Linked DNA regions of Macaca fascicularis. The protein of the gene in region 1 interacts with the protein of each later gene in a pairwise test. Links are inferred from orthologs where the notes say so. Each region holds a gene or a part of one and is shown on either strand. Other genes may lie near its edges.

What was found.
Region 2: the proteins of TRIM39 (region 1) and UBXN6 interact in binary tests that used the Homo sapiens proteins (3 or more experiments, as listed by UniProt). The link is inferred for Macaca fascicularis from reciprocal best matches to the Homo sapiens genes TRIM39 and UBXN6.
Region 3: the proteins of TRIM39 (region 1) and UBTD1 interact in binary tests that used the Homo sapiens proteins (3 or more experiments, as listed by UniProt). The two-hybrid records come from large-scale screens. The link is inferred for Macaca fascicularis from reciprocal best matches to the Homo sapiens genes TRIM39 and UBTD1.

Annotation. Positions count from the first base shown.
Region 1 is NC_088378.1:142,319,863-142,324,023, reverse strand, and holds the start of TRIM39 (E3 ubiquitin-protein ligase TRIM39), read left to right. Parts: upstream 1-1,320; 5' UTR 1,321-1,681; exon of another isoform or gene 1,682-2,350; intron 2,351-2,352; exon of another isoform or gene 2,353-3,158; intron 3,159-4,161.
Region 2 is NC_088393.1:5,196,654-5,200,921, forward strand, and holds the start of UBXN6 (UBX domain-containing protein 6), read right to left. Parts: upstream 2,805-4,268; 5' UTR 2,689-2,804; coding exon 2,606-2,688; intron 1,842-2,605; exon of another isoform or gene 1,756-1,841; intron 1-1,755. UniProt on the Homo sapiens protein: May negatively regulate the ATPase activity of VCP, an ATP-driven segregase that associates with different cofactors to control a wide variety of cellular processes.
Region 3 is NC_088383.1:106,450,459-106,454,721, forward strand, and holds the start of UBTD1 (ubiquitin domain-containing protein 1), read left to right. Parts: upstream 1-1,459; 5' UTR 1,460-1,761; coding exon 1,762-1,831; intron 1,832-1,906; exon of another isoform or gene 1,907-2,050; intron 2,051-4,263. Other genes in the region: MMS19 nucleotide excision repair protein homolog, read right to left, coding at 818-929. UniProt on the Homo sapiens protein: May be involved in the regulation of cellular senescence through a positive feedback loop with TP53. Is a TP53 downstream target gene that increases the stability of TP53 protein by promoting the ubiquitination and degradation of MDM2.

The DNA.
Region 1 (4,161 bases):
GATAATTTTTGTATTTTTAGTAGAGACAGCGTTTCGCTATGTTGGCCAGGCTGGTCTCAAACTCCTGACCTCAGGTGATCCACCCGCCTCGGCCTCCCAAAGTGCTAGGATTACAGGCGTGAGCCACCGCGCCCAGCCTTCATTTAGTATTGTCTAATGATGTTTTCATACTCCAAGAAGAAAGTTCAGTATGGACCACAAAGCCAAAAAGATGTCCTCTCTGGCTCTACAGCAAAGATTTGCCAAGCCCTGTTATATGTCATACTATTTGCGCTTCATAATTTTATAGTTTTACCTAGGCAGTCTCCATTTTTTCCTTCCATATTCAGCGTAAAATCCCCTTGTTTTTTTTTTTTTTTGGAGACGGAGTCTCGCTCTGTCGCCCAGGCTGGAGTGCAGTGGCCGGATCTCAGCTCACTGCAAGCTCCGCCTTCCGGGTTTACGCCATTCTCCTGCCTCAGCCTCGGGGAGTAGCTGGGACTACAGGCGCCCGCCACCTCGCCCGGCTAGTTTTTTTGTATTTTTTAGTAGAGACGGGGTTTCACTGTGTTAGCCAGGATGGTCTCGATCTCCTGACCTCGTGATCCGCCCGTCTCGGCCTCCCAAAGTGCTGGGATTACAGGCTTGAGCCACCGCGCCCGGCCCGTAAAATCCCCTTAATATCAGTCTCTAGGCAAGCTCATTCTTCATAATCCTTAGAATTGGACCTCCTCTTGTTAATTTCCTTAGTCTAATCACAATCCTCCTGGTTATTTACAAACCGAACGCCAGAAAGGAGGGTTATCAACATCTTATGCGCCACAAATTAACAAATCAAAACCAAATCTCACTCTCCCTCCGAAGCCAAGGCTAAGGAGGCTCACCGCCCAGTTAGTGGCTTTCAAACTACCCTTACAAGTGAGGCATCTTGTGAATTAGAACAACTGCTGCTGCTAAAATCCCTAATGGCTACATAGCAATGTGAAAAAAAGGTATCAAATGTAATTTTCTCAAATTTAATCCTCTTCAATTGTTGGCACAAAAAAAGGAATAATAAAGGTAGACAACTATAATTAGCATGTGTGATCCCAAATCTTTATACCTTAGATACTGGATATTTTCTACAAGTAAATAGTTTCTGGCTCCCAAGATGAGAGGTTAAATAATGCAGGGTGTTTGTAAACAGCAGCACAACTTACACCGGAAATTAGGGCACTTTCTCACCAAGGAGAGCACATCAAAATTTGCTCATCTCTTTCAATCAATGTTCTCCAGGACTAGTGCTGGGGGCGGGGAGGCGGAGCAAGCTATCTTTTCTACCAGCCGTGTCACACCCCTCCTAGCACTAACCCCTCCTCCTCAGCCTCTTCACACCTCTACCCACTACTAACCCCTCCCCAGCCCCATCACCGCTTCCCGGGCCCCTGACACCTCTCCCAGCATACTCTTCCTGGCCTCATCACCTCACCCACTTCCTCCAAAATCACAGGACCTGCTAAGCTTCCAGCAGCAAGCGAGCAAAGCAGGGAGGCTGTAATGTAAAAGTCCGCAGTCCCTACACAAACACTATCTGCTCCTGCGGAGAAACTCAAGTCACAGCCCCAGAAGAAAGAACAGGCCTGGGCTCTCACCCAGTTAACCAGCGTTTATCCAGCGCACGTGTTGCGGTCGGACCCCATGCGAAGGAGCTAAGGACACAAAGGTGAGCAGCAGAGTCGCGGTTCCAGCTCTCTCCCGGCTCCCACTCCAGCGGGGTAGGTAGATAATTTCGGTAAACTTCGCCAAGCAGGGGCAGGACAAAGAGTATTTGAAGTCTACCCGGGGGAGAACTTACCTAATCCTTGAATGTTAAAAGGCTAAAACTCCACCAGTCGGAAGTGACGTGCCAGCTGAGCCCCCGCAGGTCCGCCACGTAATTGGCCGCCGCCACAGCTAGCCACCCTCTCCCCGGACTGGCCCGAAGAGAGGAAAAGTGTGGAAGTCCACAAGCCGCCCTCGCCCCGCCCTCTTCGTCGACTTTCAGCTGCACTGGGGAGCGGCGGCGCCTGGCCAGAGCCGGGGCCTGGAGCCTGGACGGGACAGCCTCGCCGGCCGGGGCGCCCGTCCAGCGCCCTGCGGGCCATGGGCTTCAGCGCTCGAGCACGCGCATGCGCGGGCCTCTATCTCCAGAGGATTCCTCGGGTCACCTGGACGCCAGCATCTCAGCCACCTGCCCCTCTGGGTCCCTTCTTGTCCTTGATTCCTCCTGCTGGTTCTCATCGCCAGCCCTCCTCCACCTCCTCCTTCCGCAGCCACCGCTAGACCCGGCCGCTGCCGCCTGCCGACACCCCAGCTTCCACTGACACGAGCCTCGGCGCGGCTTCCGCTTCCGGCGAGTATTGTGTGTCGCGCCGCGGGGCGGGGGCGAGGGGAGGAGGAAGGAGGGAGGCAGCGCTCCGGCGGCTCCGCGCCCCGCACTCCCGGACCCGAAGCCGGGAAGGTAGGTGCTGTCCCGCCGCCGCGCCCGAGCCTGGGGCCTGCCCCCGCCGGCCGGCTCCGCAAGTCGCGTCCCAGCGCCCCGCGACTGCGTCACCGGCCCCCCGCACGTAACCACAGCTGCCTCCGCCCGCCTCGGGCCCGGGCGGACGTTTTGCCGCCCCGGCGACGTCAGCGCGTCCGGCGTTGCTTGGCTACCCCGCCGTTCCCCCGTCCCGCTGCTGCTCACCTCCCCGGGTGAAACTCTGACGCAGTCACCGCGGGTCTCGGCTGCGTCATAGCGGCGGGCATCCCACCTTCACGTCACACCTCTTCCTCACCTGGACACGCATCCCTCCCTACCCTGCCAGCAACGACGTTTCCTCTTTCCCCTCTCCAATCCCCCTGCCCCAGATCTGGCGGAAGAAGATGGAGACGGGGGTGGGACAGAGTTGTGGACAACCTCTCAGGACAGGGTCGCAAGGTGGGACCCTGAACAGTGGTTGAAACAAAATGAGATCGTCCCTGAAGTTTGCCCTTCAGCTGAGACACAAGGAGTAGAGGGAGACGAAGGACTAACCCAGAGGCACTCAAGGTCTCACTATGACTGTAGTTTAGAGTCCTCTCCATTCTTCCCTAACCCTTTCCCCATTTCTTTCACCACTTCTTTGCCAGTCTAGATCTGTCCTGGTGCCTTACTGTGCATACAGTTCTACTCATCTCAGGTGAGGAGGCCACCTAATTTGTAAAAGACTGAGGAAGGGGTAGGGTCACCACAAGTCAAAGTTGGATTTCCACAGGTAGAGAGAAATCATCTGATTGAACTTCTCTCCTATTGCTGACAGAAAAAATTCAAGTCCAAAGAAGTTATCAGCTCCTACTCCAAACACATTTGTGTGTGCCAACAATATATACAGGAACAATTGTTGTTAACCTACCTCATTACATGGCCACTTATCTCTCAGCACATAGATTTACCAAATTTCCTTCCTTCCAGTAGGTCCCTAGAGAAGGATGGGGGTCAGGAGGAGAAAGGGTTATGGGGATAGATACATCAACTTACCCATGGCTAAAAGTATCGACGTTTTAAGATGGAGTGGGGGACCAGCGTTGTGTTTTATAAATCTCTCTTATGCATTTCCAATTCTTCTGAGGCTGCACTTGAGGGAGATCTCATTGCCTCTTTTCTGTCTCTTAATTCCCAACCACTCCGGAACCTATTAGTTGGAGACACAGTATGCCCAGGATGTTAGTTATCAATAGTTATATTGAAGGATTCCAGTCACTATAAATAGACTTGTTTCTTTACAAGAAGTTGTTGGCCTGAGCTCAGTAATGTACTATTTAATATAGTTGCCATAATTTATCAGTTTTCAGCAGTTCTGAGTGTCCAAATGAACACAATAGAAATGGAATGTTGCATGAAATATGTCATTCCAAGAAGAGAGCAGACTTCCTTTAGGCTAGTCTGATGGATAAAAGGAAGAATAATTTCAGATTTTCCTGGAAAGAGAAGGTTGCCTTTGCTTCATTCATTCCATTTGTTAGCCTTTAGAACACTGGTATCTAACCTTTTGAATGGGAGGACTCTTTTTACTTATCTGTGGTGGCTGATAAAACAAAAATTATGCATGGACCTTTTGTGGTGGCTGATAGAACAAAAGTTATGCATGGACTTCTTTTTTTTTTAGCTTATCAGCTGTCATTAGTGTCAATGTATTTTATGTC
Region 2 (4,268 bases), on another chromosome or scaffold:
GCGGACAGCAGAACCAGCCTCGCCCTGGCCACTCCATGCCAGGCCCGGGGCTGTGCAAGTACCAAGAGCTCATGGACTCGCGGTTCCGCCCTGCTGAGCCCTACACCAAGGAGGGTTCCATAATCCACTTGGCACAGTGGCCTGGCAGAGAAGCCCTTTCTGCCAACCTGCTCGGATGCGTCTGTCTCGCCTGTCTCCTCTCGGGCCCCTCCCGTGAATTCAGGGACTGTGTCACTTTCCATGTCGTAAGTCTATTAAAACTTCCTGGAGGCCAGGCTCTCAGTTCAAGCCCTGTACTCCTCTGGCTCTGCTTAGATACTCGGGCAGCCCTCCCTCCTCGTCTCGAGGCTTAGCTTCGTGCCCACCCCTGCCTATCTAGTCCTCCCACAGCGCAGCATCTTGGGTGGAAGAGGAGATGACTCATGAAGACCCATCCCAGCCCCATCCGATATCTAGGTCTTTCCAACAAAATGGCATTTCCCAGGGCACCTCACCCCAACCGGTCATGGACCCTGCCCGCCCTGGGCAGCCACAGGGACCCTTCTGCAACCTCAGCCAGGGAGCGTCAGCATCACTCCACTGCACGACGCCCCCCCACCACGAAATCCTAAAGCCTCCCTCGGCCGGAGAGCCCTTCCCGGCCTGGCCCACTGCCCTCCCCTGGCCTGGCTCCCCTGGGCTCCCCGCGGTTCTTCCCATACCCCAGCTGCTCCCCGCCGCAAGGCCCTGCACTGTCTGCGCCTTATGCCCACAGTGTTCTCCTGCGGGGAGGGAGGAGGACAGGGGATCTGGAAAGGGCTAGAGCTGCCACAGGGAGAGAAGGAGGGGGCTGATTTCCCCACGGCTGAGTCTCACTGTGTCCTGGGAGAGGCCTTCCCAAACCACCTGATGGCGTCTGCTCACCCTCCTTCAAGGCCCTGGGTACCGCCTGAGCCCTCCTCTGAGGTCTGTTGGTTTATTTGTCCATCAGCTCCCTCTAGAAGGTGAGCCCTGGGACAGCAGAGGCCTTCTCCTGTCCACCACTGCAGCCTAAAACAGGACTTGGTGCCCACACGCCCCACACACCCTGGATATCCAGTCTCGCTCCAGAGAGGACCTCCGCACCCCTTCCCTTCCCGAGTCTCCCCTCTGACCTTCCCCTCTCCGCCAGGCTCTGGGCTGACCCAGCCATCACCCTGATGCCCTGCATCCTTCCTGTCACGCCCAGTCCTAACCCCATCCACTACTGGTTGAATCAATGAAGGGCTCCCCCCATTTGTCCACTTCTCTCCCTGACCCCCCTCCCTCTCTCACTCAGCCTTTGCTCTCCTGCTCTCCCCTAGGAACCCTGAATTCCTCGCTATGCCCCTACCTCCATCACCACCCCACCAACCCGTGATTCCCTGACCCCCACTTCCTGCCACCTCCCTGCCTCTCCTCCTACCCCCTCCCAGCCCCCACCCCTTCACAATCCCTTCCATTATTGCTTACAGACCCCTACCCTGGCTGCCTGGCTGACCTCCTTCCTCAGTCACTCTCCATCAGTCTCCACCACCCCCTGGCCAGCCAGCTCCCTGCAGCAGCCCCAGCTCTTCCAGCTTCCCTTTTCTCAGCCCAGCAGCCCTCAGCCTCGCACCCTCTCCAGCGCCACTTCTTTCCCGGCCCTCCACCTGCCCTCCCAGCTGGCTCAGCCCTGCTCAGGCCCTTCTCTCCAAGTCCTCCCTAGACGATCCGGAAGCCTGCCCGGCACTTATCTCCTTTCCCCTCCCCTCTCACCTCCATAATCCACTTGGCACAGTGACCTGGCAGAGAAGCCTCGCAGAGAAGGCCTTTCTCCCAACCTGCTCAGACGCGTCAATCTCGCCGGTCTTCTCCTCTCAGGCCCCTCCCGTGTCACAGTCCATCTGTCAGAGTCCCTCACCTCCAGTCTCCTCACACACCTTCCTCAGCCCCTCCCAGGTGACTGAAGACGCTACCCACCCCGGCCTCCTTGGCCTTCCAGACTCTTCCTGGTCTCCCATCAGCCTCCCACGTGCTCCAGATCCCAAGTCCAGAACCCCTCTTCCCATGGATGCCTCAGAACAACTCTCCACCACCCCACCCCACAGTTGTGCGTCTTCCTCCAAGCTCAGCTCTCATCCATGGTCACCTAGATTCCCCCAAATCATCCCGGCCACTTAAGGACCAGCCGGGTCCCCAGACCTCTCCCTTATCACCCGTCTCAGAACTGATCATCCCTTTTTTCCCCCAGGGTCGCTCCACTGACCCCCAACTTCCTGCAGCCCCGCCGCCCTAATCCCCCGCCACTGCCTCGGACCCTCCTGCGGCCCCGCCCCCGAGACATCCCCTCCCACCCGGCCCCCTTGCCCCGCCCCCTGCGCATGTTCCCCTCCCCCCGCCTCCCTTGCCCCGCCCCCGGCTCACACCCGCCCCCTCCTGCCCTGACCCCAGATCTCTCTCCCCTCCCCCTGACGCCCATCCTCGGCCCCGCTTGCCCCGCCCCCGGAGCCTCTCCCCCTCCCCTGACTCTCGGCTGCCGCTCCCCAGCCCCTCGCCCTCTCCGATCTCCCGAGCCGCCCGAGGCCCCAGACCCCTCTCCCCGGCCGCCCCTGCGTTCCTCACGCACCCCACGGACTCTGTGAGCTTCTGACCGGGTCCCGCGCTCTTGAACTTGATGTCGGCCTTGAACTCCTGAAAGAATTTCTTCATGGTGGCGGCTGGCCCGGCGGCGAGGGGCCGCGGGGGCGGGGGGCACAGGGCCCAGTCGGGGAGGGGCCGCCCGGGACCAGCCACCGGAAAAAAAATACCGCGCCGCCGGAAGTCCCGCCTTCCCGAGGCCGACCACGTGACAATAGGCTAGAAGTGCCTCTCTAGCGCTCGGTGCCTCGCTGGCCCAGGCGGCCGCTCTGTACGCTGGAGCCGCATCTCTGTGGTTCTTCGGGACTCCGTTGCCAGGGCGACGAGTGCGCCTCTCGATTAGAGTCAGTGCCTTGCCTGGCAGCTTCCGTGGCGCTCCCCAAACGGTGACAGACGGTGACAGGACGACTGAACCTCGCAGAGAAAGCACTGGGCCCTGTCCCTTTCGCTGCTCAACCTAAGCTGGGCACGGTGGCTCACGCCTGCAATCACAGCACTTTCGGAGGCTCAAGCGGGAGGATTGCTTGATTCCAGAAGTTGGAGACCAGTCTGGGCAACATGGCAAAACCTCGTCTCTATTTAAAAAAAAAAAAAAAAAAAGTAAAATAAAATAATAGCCGAGGGTGGTGGCGCGCACCTCTGAGCTACTTGGCAGGCGGAGGCGGGAGGACCACTTGAACCCAGGAGGTCGAGACTGCAGTGAGCTGTGATCAAGCCACCGCATTCCAGCCTGGGCAACAGAGAGAGACCCTGTCTCAAGCAAAACAAACAAAAATCCAACCTTCCCTGTCTCCCCAGAGCTTACGTGATAAAGTCCCAATTTAATGTGGGGTATTGGAGGCCCCCACCTTCTGGCCCTGTTTTGGTCCCTGAAGCCCCCCACCCCACCCCACCAACACCACCACCACCACCACCACCACTTACCCTAGGTAGAAGCTGTTTAAGAGGATGCATCCGATTGGGACCTGGGGATCCACTTTGGTGAACAAGACAGAGAAACCAGTTAATAGTGGCGTACTTTGGGCTGTGCGATTCGCAAAGAAGATACACAAAGTGACAGTTAAAACAAGCCTCCAAAGAAGGGAGTTGGGGGTCAGACGTGGTGGCTCATGCCTATAATGCCAGCACTTTGGGAGGCCGAGGCCGGCGGATCATTTGAGGTCAGGAGTTTGAGACCAGCCTGGCCAACATTGTGAAACCCTGTCTCTACCGGCGCCGGTAATCCCAGCTACTTGGGAGGCTGAGGCAGGAGAATCGCTTGAACCCGGGAGGTGGTGGTTGCAGTGAGCGGAGATCTCACCACTGCACTTCAGCCTGGGCAACAGAGGGAGACTGTGCCTCAAAAAAACAAAAACAGGCCGGGCGCGGTGGCTCAAGCCTGTAATCCCAGCACTTTGGGAGGCCGAGACGGGCGGATCACAAGGTCAGGAGATCGAGACCATCCTGGCTGATACGGTGAAACCCCGTCTCTACTAAAAAATACAAAAAACTAGCCGGGCGAGGTGGCGGGCGCCTGTAATCCCAGCTACTCGGGAGGCTGAGGCAGGAGAATGGCGTGAACCCGGGAGGCGGAGCTTGCAGTGAGCTGAGATGCGGCCACTGCACTCCAGCCTGGGCGGCAGAGCGAGACTCCGTCTCAAAACAAAAACAAA
Region 3 (4,263 bases), on another chromosome or scaffold:
AGACAATTTTATATTGTTACTTAAACCCAAGATCTGAAGCCTTCCTAACATTCAATAACTTTTTAGTAGATTTTTTTTTCCTAGAAGAGCAAAGTCTCAGAACTCCACGGAAGCCTGGAAATTGTTTTATTCTAATTTTAGATAAGCTGTCTGAACTAAGAGATCTCTGAACTTGTCAAAAGCAGGCAAAGTGGGGGTCTGGGAAGAAGATAAAAACAAACGCCACATAAAACGTCATGGAGCAAACTAATCAAGAACTTTGGCAAGAAACGGAGAGAAAGTCTTAAGGAGGACACCCAGAACATCTCCAGCTCCTCCTGGCCCGACTCCTCGCCTCCTCTTAATTCCAGCCAGTCAGAGCGCGGGGCCATCCGCCACTCCCAGGATGCCACGCGACGGGAGCGGACGCTGCGAGGATGCACCTCCACACGTCAACCTCCCACAAACAGCGTGGCTTCGTGGCTTGAGCACCCGGTTCGGACGTGAACGCCTGGGTCCGAGTCCCAGCTCCCCCTCCTGCCTTGTCTGCAGCCCTGCGCAAGTCCTCTTGCCCTCGCTGAGCCTCAGTTTCCTCATCTGTAAAATGTAATAATTCCCTATAATTGGCTATAGGGAGATGAAAAGTGTAAATGGTTTTAAGGAAGACACAGGCAACTCTCCAACTTGTTACGGCTCTGAAGCTCGCGGTGCTCACTAACCAGCCTTGAGACCAATCTCTCAAAGTCACCCGCTCCTCCTTTCCCGCCCGGCGCCTGTACCGAGGCCGCTCCCTCCTGTTGGCCCCCATGCGGAAGGCGCGCGGCGCCGTCTGCCGTACCTGCAGCCACCTGGTCAGCGGGGCCCTCTTGTTGACCCATGACGAAGTCGTGCACGAGGCCCCATAGGGCGCCCGTAGGCGCCGCCGCCTCCAGAGCCGCGGCGGCGGCCATGACGCGAACAAGAGACCGTGGGAGGGGATATGGGCGGTGGCAAGAGACGGGCCTCTCCGCGCATGCGCCTCCCGAGGCAATCGCGGGGAGAAGGCCAAGGGGGCGGGGCGCACCGGGTCACGTGCCTACCGGCTTCTAGCCAGGCAGTTCCATGGAGGGGCGGGGCCTGGAATGGGGCGGCGGCACCGAGAGGGAAGGCGGCTGCTGGGCACGCAGCCGGAGGCCATTGAGGGCGAATAATTCCCGGCCCGGCTCCCCGGGAGACGGGCGGCGGGGCGGGCACCTGGCTGGGTGGGGAGAGGGGCGGTACGCACCACGGGGGAAGCCAATGAGAAAATCAGGCCCAGCCCGAGGGGGCGGTGCTGTCGGTCACATGCGCACCTGGGGCGGGTGGTGGCGGCGGCGCGGGCACCGCGAGCCGGCGGTGGGGAGCGGGGCCGGCCTGGGGCGGGGTTAGGCAGGTGAGTGACAGGCTCCAGGGGGCCGGCCCCTGCCTGGAGCCCCGAGCGACCGGGAGTAGCTGCGGCGGTGCCCGCCCCCTCTCTCCGCCCCTCCAGCGGAGCTGGTCTCCGGCCGGGCACCGTCGCGGGCCCCCCTGGCCCGGCCACCTGGGACTGTGCTAGGGAGTCTGCCACCTCCCTCTCTCCCCTGGCCCGCAAAGTTTTGCCGGAGCCAGCGCCGGGGCTGAGCGCGCCCCCGGGGGGAGATCGGGGAGCGCCAGATGCCGGGCGGCCGGAGCCGTTGACCCGGGACGCCGCCGTCCGGGGCAGGAGCGCGGAGCAGCCGACCACCTCGCCGCCTCCGGTGCATGGGGACTGGCTGAGGAGCCAGCATGGGCAACTGCGTGGGGAGACAGCGGCGGGAGAGGCCGGCAGCCCCGGGACACCCCCGCAAGCGAGCAGGTAACGACGGGGAAGGGAGCAGGGCCTCGGGCACCCCGCCAGTTGTCCCCCTCCTCGCCCGAGCTCTAGGCTTACCGATAGACTCCCCACTGGTGCTGGCGCTTGGGTTTCCCCGATAGCCTGCTCCGCAACCAGACGGGGCCGCTCCCCAGCGCCGGGCGAGCTGAGTTGGGGCAACTGCGAGCACTGAGCCGGCTGCGCGACCAACTCTCTCCAACTGGGAAGCTCCTGGTGGGGGTGGGGGCAGGAAATGTTTGCAGACCGCAGCGGGGCCGACGGATTGCGGGGAGGGCCCGGGGCGAGGGCGCCGCTGGCCTGGCAGCTCCGGCCGGGGTCGGACACCGGCCCGTCGGGGCACGGCGCGGGCAGCCAGGCGTCCCCAGAACTTGGAGCGAGCGGGGCGAGAACAGTCGCTCCTTCCAAAGACTGTGTCATTATCGGGCTGCAGATCGTGTCTGCCGGAATCCGACTTGCAAAGCAGCGCAGGACTCTGGGAAAGAAATCTTTATTTTTCCCGCAGGGGTTTTTAGAGCCTCTCGGTCGTCTGGGAGTCTATAAAAGATGGGGTGCGGGGTGAGAGTCACCCTCGGAATTGTTGGGATCCTTCCTAGCTGTGGGAGTGAGATCGCTCGCTGGTGATTCTCGAGGCCGGTTTCTCAACGCTTTCTCACTTTCATGGTACACCCCGCTTGCCCTGGCATTTCGCCCCGGAAAGAGGTCTGTCGGTCATTTTTCTGGGTCTTACACTCACTTCCTTCTTTGAGGGTGTTGCAAGGACCTGCTGGGAATAAAATCGTAGACTTGAGAGCTCAAAGGGACCTTCAAAACTTATCTGGATTCCAGATGGATCTTTGTCCTCCTCTCCATGTCAAAGCCCAGATCCCAAGAGGTTGAGCACCTTGTCCAAAGTCACACAGCTAGTTAGGAGCACAGCTGGGGCTAGAACTCAGCCTCCTCTCCCACCCCATTGCCACATATCCCCTTATGTAAGAGGAGCCACAGGCAGAGTTGTTAATGAAGTGGAAACTCTAGTTGGAGTTTCCTGTCTCCCTTGACACCGAAGGTGTGTTGCTTGGGTTGCGGAAACTGGGAAGGAAGATGAGGGAACCAGGGGAAGCAGGGAAGGATGTCTGCGTGGTGGACAGGATGACTCGTGGAGGAAGAAATGTGTTTTTATGGGAAGGATGAAGTAAAACTTATTGAAATTCTTTTGTCTGAAGGTAACTCTGCCCATTCTTCTGACTGAGGAGAGATGACTCAAAACCAAGGACTGGCTTGCTTTCATTCATTCATTTGTTCAACAAATATGTGTTCAGTCCCCATAATTGATTTAGCAGCATTTTTTGCTGTTGACAACTCTCTCCCATGAGACATTCTCCCCCTTCCTTTCTTGGCATCAGACTGTCTTGGTTTTCCATTCTAAACACCCCTTTCCACGATCACCTTCTAGGTGGGGGGCGCACTGGTGCTTCAGTTTGACATTCTGTTTTTTCTCTCATTACACTCCCTCCCAGAGAAATCTTGTTTAGTCTCACAACTCTTTGTCCATTGGGAAGACCCCTATGCTTAATCTTCAGCTCTTCTCTCTTGAACCCCAGAACCCCATCTCTAGATGGCCACTGGACAGTGCGATATAGATATTCCCAGATTTGACACTTCCAAAATCAGGCTCTGTATTGTTCCCTGTCCAGCAGCTTCCCTTCTTTACTCATGTTCTTCCAGCTGCCTAACTTTAGGCTGTGAAGAGCTCTCTCTCTCATGACTTTCTCTGCTTCCTTGTCACCTGCCTCGAAGCCAGCCAGTCCCTGGGGTCTGCTGGCTCTTCCTTCCGCAGGTCTTGCGAACCTGTCCCTTGCCACCCCACTTCATACCCTTCTCACCTCAAGTCAACCCTTGTCTCAGGCTGAAGTGAGGTACCCCCCAAAGGCAACTTCATCTTCAGTCATTATCCAGTCTTACACACAGTTGTCCCCTCAGAAGACATTTGCTAAAATAACTTCTTCCAGATTTTATAGTTCTGTGTTCAAAATATTTCTGTACTTGGCCAGACATGGTGGCTCACACCTGTAATCCAGCACTTTGGGAGGCCAAGGCAGGCAGATCACCTGAGGTCAGGAGTTGGAGACCAGCCTGGCCAACATGGCAAAACCCTGTCTCTACTAAAAATATAAAAATTAGCCAGGCGTGGTGGCAGGCGCCGGTAATCCCAGCTGCTCAGGAGGCTGAGGCAGGGAGAATTGCTTGAACTGGAAGGCAGAGGTTGTAGTGAGCCCAGATTGCGCCACTGCACTCCAGCCTGGGTGACAGAGCGAGACTCCATCTCAAAAAAACCCAAAACAACAACAACAACAACAAACACCTTTCTGCACTTTCCCACTCCTACAAGTACTTTAACTGTCAAGGCCGTTCCTTTTAAGTCCTAATTTCTTTCC